Saccharomyces cerevisiae S288C: one gene and its partner. The protein of the gene in region 1 binds, or shares a complex with, the protein of each later gene. Each region holds a gene or a part of one and is shown in the gene's direction. Other genes may lie near its edges. The genes, in order: SIP1 and GAL83.

Region 1 (4,806 bases):
ATAAGCAATGGAACGACCAGTTAAGATAAATGGGCAATATCCTTCGGAAAGGTCAGCAAATATATTTAGCAGGTGACATGAAGAAGCAAATGTTGCTAAATAAAGATGGAACACCTAAGAGGAAGGTGGGCAGACCAGGCAGAAAAAGGATTGACTCTGAAGCTAAGAGTAGGAGGACTGCCCAGAATAGGGCAGCTCAACGAGCGTTCCGAGATAGGAAAGAAGCCAAAATGAAGAGTTTGCAAGAGAGGGTAGAGTTACTAGAACAGAAAGATGCGCAGAATAAGACTACCACGGACTTTTTACTATGTTCTTTAAAAAGTTTACTGTCGGAAATTACAAAATATAGAGCTAAGAATTCTGATGATGAAAGAATATTAGCCTTCCTCGATGATCTGCAAGAACAACAGAAAAGGGAAAACGAAAAAGGAACAAGTACAGCAGTTAGCAAGGCTGCAAAGGAATTGCCATCGCCTAATTCAGATGAAAACATGACTGTGAACACAAGTATAGAAGTACAGCCGCACACTCAAGAGAATGAGAAAGTTATGTGGAACATAGGCTCATGGAACGCTCCCAGTTTAACCAATTCGTGGGATTCTCCCCCCGGAAATCGAACAGGTGCCGTTACCATCGGTGACGAAAGTATTAATGGTAGTGAAATGCCAGATTTCAGTCTCGATCTTGTCTCCAATGATAGACAGACTGGTCTAGAAGCTTTAGATTACGACATTCATAACTACTTTCCTCAGCACTCTGAACGCCTGACCGCTGAAAAAATAGATACGTCAGCATGTCAATGTGAAATTGACCAAAAGTATCTTCCATACGAGACAGAAGATGATACTTTATTCCCCAGCGTGCTTCCCCTTGCTGTAGGGAGCCAGTGTAATAATATTTGCAACCGCAAGTGTATCGGGACCAAACCATGTTCAAATAAGGAGATCAAATGCGACTTAATAACAAGCCACCTGTTGAATCAGAAATCTCTAGCTTCGGTGCTTCCGGTGGCTGCTTCTCATACTAAAACAATTCGAACCCAATCTGAAGCAATTGAACACATTAGCAGCGCCATATCGAATGGAAAAGCGTCTTGCTACCACATTCTCGAAGAGATCTCCTCCCTACCAAAATATTCATCGTTGGACATAGATGATTTATGCAGCGAATTAATAATCAAGGCAAAATGTACAGATGACTGCAAAATAGTAGTCAAAGCTCGCGACTTACAGAGTGCTCTGGTTAGACAGCTCCTGTAGCATATAAACATATCTTGAGTATACATAATGTTGGATGAGAGCATGTAATATTGATCGCTTTGTACGATGATTATACCTTTTTTGTCTTTTTACCATTGTCTCTGATGGAATACTATTGACAATTAACAATGGTAGATATATCCGATACAAGTGGATACCTACATAAACAAGGTGTCTTACCTAGTGTTTCTTTCATTTGCACTTCTTTTTTTGCGTGTGGACTGACATCTTGGAAAGTTGAACTGTCATATTATATAGTTGTTGCAGCCGCCATGGGAAACAGTCCTTCTACTCAGGATCCATCGCATTCAACCAAAAAGGAGCATGGACATCATTTTCATGATGCATTCAATAAAGATCGTCAGGGAAGCATAACCTCTCAACTGTTTAACAATAGGAAGAGTACTCATAAGAGACGCGCCAGTCATACTAGCGAACATAATGGTGCCATTCCCCCTAGAATGCAATTACTTGCATCTCACGATCCATCGACAGATTGTGATGGGCGCATGAGCAGTGATACTACTATCGATAAGGGCCCGTCCCATCTATTCAAAAAGGATTATTCTTTGTCCTCTGCCGCAGACGTAAATGACACTACGTTGGCCAATTTGACTTTAAGTGATGATCACGATGTGGGTGCACCCGAAGAGCAGGTGAAATCTCCGTCGTTTTTGAGCCCAGGTCCATCAATGGCCACTGTCAAACGAACTAAAAGTGATCTGGATGATCTGTCTACTTTGAATTACACCATGGTTGACGAAACAACAGAAAATGAAAGAAACGACAAACCACACCATGAAAGGCATCGCTCAAGCATCATAGCTTTGAAAAAAAATCTTTTAGAAAGTTCAGCTACTGCTTCCCCTTCTCCAACGAGGTCTTCATCGGTGCATTCAGCATCACTTCCCGCCTTGACCAAGACGGATTCCATTGATATTCCTGTAAGACAACCCTATTCAAAGAAACCATCTATCCATGCATACCAATATCAATATCTCAATAACGACGAAACATTTTCTGAGAACTCTCAAATGGATAAAGAGGGAAACAGTGATAGTGTAGATGCAGAAGCAGGCGTACTTCAAAGTGAAGATATGGTTTTGAACCAGTCTCTTTTACAAAATGCTTTAAAAAAGGATATGCAACGTCTTTCAAGGGTGAATTCCTCTAATTCAATGTATACTGCAGAAAGGATAAGCCACGCTAATAACAATGGAAATATTGAAAATAACACCCGTAACAAGGGAAACGCGGGAGGCTCCAACGACGATTTTACCGCACCTATATCTGCTACTGCAAAAATGATGATGAAACTGTACGGTGATAAGACCTTGATGGAAAGAGATTTAAATAAGCACCATAATAAGACAAAGAAAGCCCAGAATAAAAAAATAAGGTCGGTTTCAAATTCGAGAAGATCCTCATTTGCTTCTTTGCATTCTTTACAATCAAGAAAGAGTATCTTAACAAACGGTTTGAATTTGCAGCCTTTGCATCCACTACATCCAATTATTAACGACAATGAAAGTCAATACTCTGCACCGCAGCATAGAGAAATATCGCATCACTCTAATTCCATGTCGAGTATGTCTTCAATATCATCAACAAACTCCACCGAAAATACTTTAGTTGTTCTAAAATGGAAAGACGATGGTACCGTGGCTGCAACCACGGAAGTCTTTATAGTAAGCACGGATATTGCTTCTGCTCTTAAAGAGCAAAGAGAGCTTACCTTGGATGAGAATGCAAGTTTAGACTCAGAAAAACAGTTAAATCCTAGGATCCGCATGGTTTATGATGATGTGCATAAGGAATGGTTTGTTCCAGATCTTTTTTTGCCTGCAGGAATTTATAGACTGCAATTCTCCATCAATGGTATATTGACTCACTCAAATTTTCTTCCTACAGCTACGGATTCAGAAGGCAATTTTGTCAACTGGTTTGAAGTATTGCCCGGTTATCATACGATCGAGCCATTTAGAAACGAAGCAGACATCGACTCGCAAGTAGAGCCAACACTGGATGAAGAATTGCCCAAGAGACCGGAACTTAAAAGATTTCCTTCTTCCTCTCGAAAATCTTCCTACTATTCTGCTAAGGGTGTTGAAAGGCCAAGTACACCGTTTTCAGATTATAGAGGCTTAAGTAGGTCCAGTTCAATAAATATGCGTGACTCATTTGTACGTCTGAAGGCTAGCAGTTTGGATTTGATGGCCGAGGTCAAGCCTGAGAGGTTGGTGTATTCGAACGAAATACCAAATTTATTTAATATAGGTGACGGCTCTACGATTTCTGTAAAAGGAGATTCTGATGACGTGCATCCCCAAGAACCTCCCAGCTTTACACATAGAGTTGTTGACTGTAATCAAGATGATTTATTTGCTACTTTACAGCAAGGCGGTAATATTGATGCAGAAACAGCAGAGGCGGTTTTTCTAAGTAGATACCCAGTTCCTGACTTGCCCATATACCTGAATTCATCCTATCTGAACAGAATACTAAACCAAAGCAATCAGAATTCAGAATCACATGAGAGGGATGAAGGTGCGATAAATCATATTATACCCCACGTGAATTTGAACCATTTACTGACAAGCAGTATTAGAGATGAAATAATCAGCGTAGCTTGCACTACTAGATATGAGGGGAAATTTATCACTCAAGTAGTTTATGCACCTTGTTATTATAAAACACAAAAGTCTCAGATCAGTAATTAGAATCTCAATTCGCAATGATTCTCACGAACTCTATTAATTCAATTTTTTTCTTTTTGATTCCTATGGCTCCTAGAACGTTTGCATTCCTTTTTTTTTTGTTCTAGTAGGTATTTCACGTCACGTTTCTGGCAATCCACTTCTCAGCATGCGTGGAATATACTTTAACATATCCAACGAATTTGCTGCATATTCTTATGTAATAGATAGCCGTTCCTAATGTGTAATGGCCTGCTTTGTTATAGAAATCATATATAAGTAGTGATTGAGCCGTAAAATCATCTCATATGCCCAATGGAAAACCAGTCATAGTATTATGAAGCATTCGCATTATTATATACCTCCATCTTCCCCTGTTATTCTGTCTTTGTATTTAAAATCATTTTTACGAATAGTGCGGTTGTCTTGGTTGATGACGTAATTCTTTGATATCTACTTATTTACGCGTTATTGGCCTTGAGTTATTAATATCATTATTGATGTTATTACTATTCACGAACAAGTTGTATAAATTTTCGAAATTATTATTATCACCATCTCCACATTGCATATATCGTTGCTCAATAAGTTCTGTCCATGGTTCTACAAATTCAAGCCCGATATCTTCACTAGCACCGAACCAATCTGTAACCTCGTCAGATAGAGATGGACCTTGGAAGAGTTCATTGTTCAGTAACGCTGTTGTGATATCGTTGTTTTGTTCAACAAAAGGATCAACGATACCTTTAGAAGATGTATCATTTGAATTCTGAGAATTGCTATTAATTTCCTCCGTCAAAGGCCTTTCCGAGGGTTCAAAAGTAGTCTCGGTTTTATTATATCCAATACGT
Region 2 (3,596 bases), on another chromosome or scaffold:
CCACAGACTTGAACATAAAAAAAGGCACGGAAGAACGCACACTGGCGAGAAGCCTCACAAATGTACCGTTCAGGGCTGTCCGAAAAGCTTCAGCCGAAGCGATGAACTAAAAAGACATTTGAGGACACATACTAAAGGCGTCCAAAGGCGCAGAATAAAATCCAAGGGCTCGCGAAAAACCGTTGTGAATACTGCTACCGCCGCCCCTACCACCTTCAATGAAAACACTGGTGTTTCGCTCACGGGGATAGGTCAATCTAAAGTGCCACCTATTCTTATCTCCGTTGCTCAGAATTGCGATGACGTGAATATACGAAATACTGGAAATAATAATGGCATTGTGGAGACACAGGCACCTGCAATTTTAGTGCCTGTGATAAATATTCCAAATGACCCTCATCCGATTCCAAGTAGCCTCTCCACTACTTCTATCACCTCCATTGCATCAGTATATCCCTCTACTTCTCCATTCCAGTACCTGAAAAGCGGGTTTCCTGAAGATCCTGCATCTACACCGTATGTACATTCGTCCGGAAGTTCTTTAGCCCTGGGTGAATTGTCTTCAAACTCCTCTATATTTTCGAAATCTAGGAGGAATTTGGCCGCCATGAGTGGTCCTGATTCTTTGAGTAGTTCTAAAAACCAATCCAGTGCTTCGCTTCTTTCTCAAACTTCACATCCATCAAAGAGCTTTTCAAGACCGCCAACAGACTTAAGTCCTCTGCGAAGAATCATGCCTTCTGTAAACACAGGAGACATGGAAATTTCAAGGACAGTATCCGTTTCGAGCAGTTCATCATCACTCACTTCTGTTACGTATGATGACACCGCGGCTAAAGACATGGGCATGGGAATATTTTTTGATAGGCCACCTGTAACACAGAAAGCTTGCAGGAGCAATCATAAGTACAAGGTTAATGCTGTTAGCAGAGGGAGACAACATGAAAGGGCACAATTTCATATATCTGGAGATGATGAGGACAGTAACGTTCACCGCCAAGAATCAAGAGCATCCAACACAAGTCCCAATGTATCATTGCCTCCGATAAAGAGCATTTTGCGACAAATTGATAATTTCAACAGTGCTCCTTCTTACTTCAGTAAATAAACAAGCAGTAAATAAAACGTATAGAATATAAGAAGGAAAATAACAATGGGTTCTTGAAACTTGATATACTTTTTCCTGGAATGAAGACGCAAAGAAAACCTTTGGAGAAAATCATTGCAAATTTAAAAGCTGTGCTTCAAAAAACCCATGTGAGACTGAAACATGGTCCAGTGGTCTTCATCCGGACCGGTTCAAAGTCCTGCTCTACCTTCAATAATTTGTCTTTACCGTTAAAACACAGGCCACGCTATTTTTTTTGTTGCACTAATTTTCATCCTTAAGCGACCAATTTGCTCCCCTTTGGAAAAGCTCACGAAAAAACGTGGCAAAGAAAACAATACCGATCTCGTAGGATTTGGGCCACTGTTGTAATCGCAAGTAGAGAGCATCCTAGATAAGAGCTACTATATTTTGTATAAGGTCGTTTCCTGCACAATAATAAATTATCTACACTGAAATATGGCTGGCGACAACCCTGAAAACAAGGATGCTTCCATGTTAGATGTCAGTGACGCAGCTAGCAACACTACGATTAATGGTAAACATAGCGCCGATTCAACTAATGAGGCTTCCCTGGCGTACACTTTTTCTCAAATGAACGTAGATAATCCTAATGAATTAGAGCCTCAGCATCCTTTAAGACATAAATCGAGTTTAATTTTTAACGACGATGATGACGATGAAATACCTCCATATTCAAACCATGCGGAAAATGGTTCTGGGGAGACCTTTGATTCTGATGATGATATCGATGCTAGCAGCTCGAGTAGTATCGACAGCAACGAAGGCGATATCCACGATGCAGATATGACAGGAAATACCTTGCAAAAAATGGATTATCAACCATCTCAGCAGCCTGACTCACTTCAAAATCAAGGCTTTCAACAGCAACAAGAACAGCAACAGGGCACTGTGGAAGGCAAGAAAGGAAGAGCTATGATGTTTCCAGTTGACATCACTTGGCAACAGGGGGGTAATAAAGTGTACGTTACTGGGTCTTTTACGGGATGGAGAAAGATGATCGGGTTAGTACCAGTCCCTGGACAGCCTGGACTTATGCATGTAAAATTACAGCTGCCTCCAGGTACTCATCGTTTCAGATTTATTGTTGACAATGAGTTAAGATTCAGTGATTATTTACCTACCGCAACCGACCAAATGGGAAACTTCGTCAACTATATGGAAGTGAGCGCACCGCCTGATTGGGGCAATGAACCTCAGCAGCATCTGGCTGAAAAAAAAGCGAATCATGTAGATGATAGCAAATTGAGTAAGAGACCTATGAGCGCTCGCTCGAGAATCGCATTGGAGATAGAAAAGGAACCAGATGACATGGGCGATGGTTACACTCGTTTTCACGATGAGACCCCCGCTAAACCTAATTTAGAGTACACTCAAGATATACCTGCTGTGTTCACCGACCCAAATGTAATGGAACAATATTATTTGACACTTGATCAGCAGCAAAATAATCACCAAAATATGGCCTGGTTGACTCCTCCACAACTGCCACCTCATTTAGAAAACGTCATTTTGAATAGTTACTCAAACGCGCAAACTGATAATACGTCTGGCGCCCTTCCCATTCCGAACCATGTTATATTGAACCATCTGGCGACAAGCAGTATTAAGCATAATACATTATGTGTCGCATCCATTGTTAGGTATAAACAAAAATACGTGACCCAAATACTGTATACACCATTGCAATAGATATGATTATAGAGCTTATAGCTACATCTTTTTAGATAAAAGCGAAGATGTTTCTGCGATTTTTCCATTATAGCTCTCCATGATACTAAATATCAAGGTCTACATGTAAGTATTTGTATATATGGGTTGGAATGTATATACGTATATACGTACGTACGTACGTATATGCACATAATTGTTACGGGATGTATATATAAATTAGTAGCATTATAGAAGATATCCCTAACATCAATCCCCACTCCTTCTCAATGTGTGCAGACTTCTGTGCCAGACACTGAATATATATCAGTAATTGGTCAAAATCACTTTGAACGTTCACACGGCACCCTCACGCCTTTGAGCTTTCACATGGACCCATCTAAAGATGAAGATCCGTATTTTATAGGAAACATTATAAATAAGGAAAGAGAGATACACCTATTTTTTTCATTTTGTGGGTGATTGTCATTTTTAGTTGTCTATTTGATTCAATCAAAAAACAAAAATAAAACTATATATTAAAAAATGGTTGAATCAGATGAAGATTTCGCACCTCAAGAATTCCCACACACGGACACAGACGTTATCGTAAATGAACACAGAGACGAAAATGACGGGTATGCCTCAGATGAAGTTGGTGGCACATTAAGCAGAAGGGCCTCAAGTATATTTTCTATAAATACAACTCCATTGGCCCCCCCTAATGCTACTGATATCCAAAAATTTACAAGTGACGAACATCATTTCAGCATGATGAGGAATTTGCATATGGCAGATTACATTACTATGCTGAATG

The links.
Region 2: SIP1 (region 1) and GAL83 share a complex: the UniProt entries of both Saccharomyces cerevisiae proteins name them as parts of the SNF1 kinase complex.

The regions. Positions count from the first base shown.
Region 1 is NC_001136.10:1,314,499-1,319,304, reverse strand, and holds SIP1 (Sip1p), read left to right. Parts: upstream 1-1,531; coding exon 1,532-3,979; downstream 3,980-4,806. Other genes in the region: CAD1 (Cad1p), read left to right, coding at 30-1,259; ARO80 (Aro80p), read right to left, coding at 4,413-4,806. UniProt on the Saccharomyces cerevisiae protein: Beta subunit of the SNF1 kinase complex, which is required for transcriptional, metabolic, and developmental adaptations in response to glucose limitation.
Region 2 is NC_001137.3:208,204-211,799, reverse strand, and holds GAL83 (Gal83p), read left to right. Parts: upstream 1-1,567; coding exon 1,568-2,821; downstream 2,822-3,596. Other genes in the region: MIG3 (Mig3p), read left to right, coding at 1-1,108; CHO1 (CDP-diacylglycerol-serine O-phosphatidyltransferase), read left to right, coding at 3,326-3,596. UniProt on the Saccharomyces cerevisiae protein: Beta subunit of the SNF1 kinase complex, which is required for transcriptional, metabolic, and developmental adaptations in response to glucose limitation.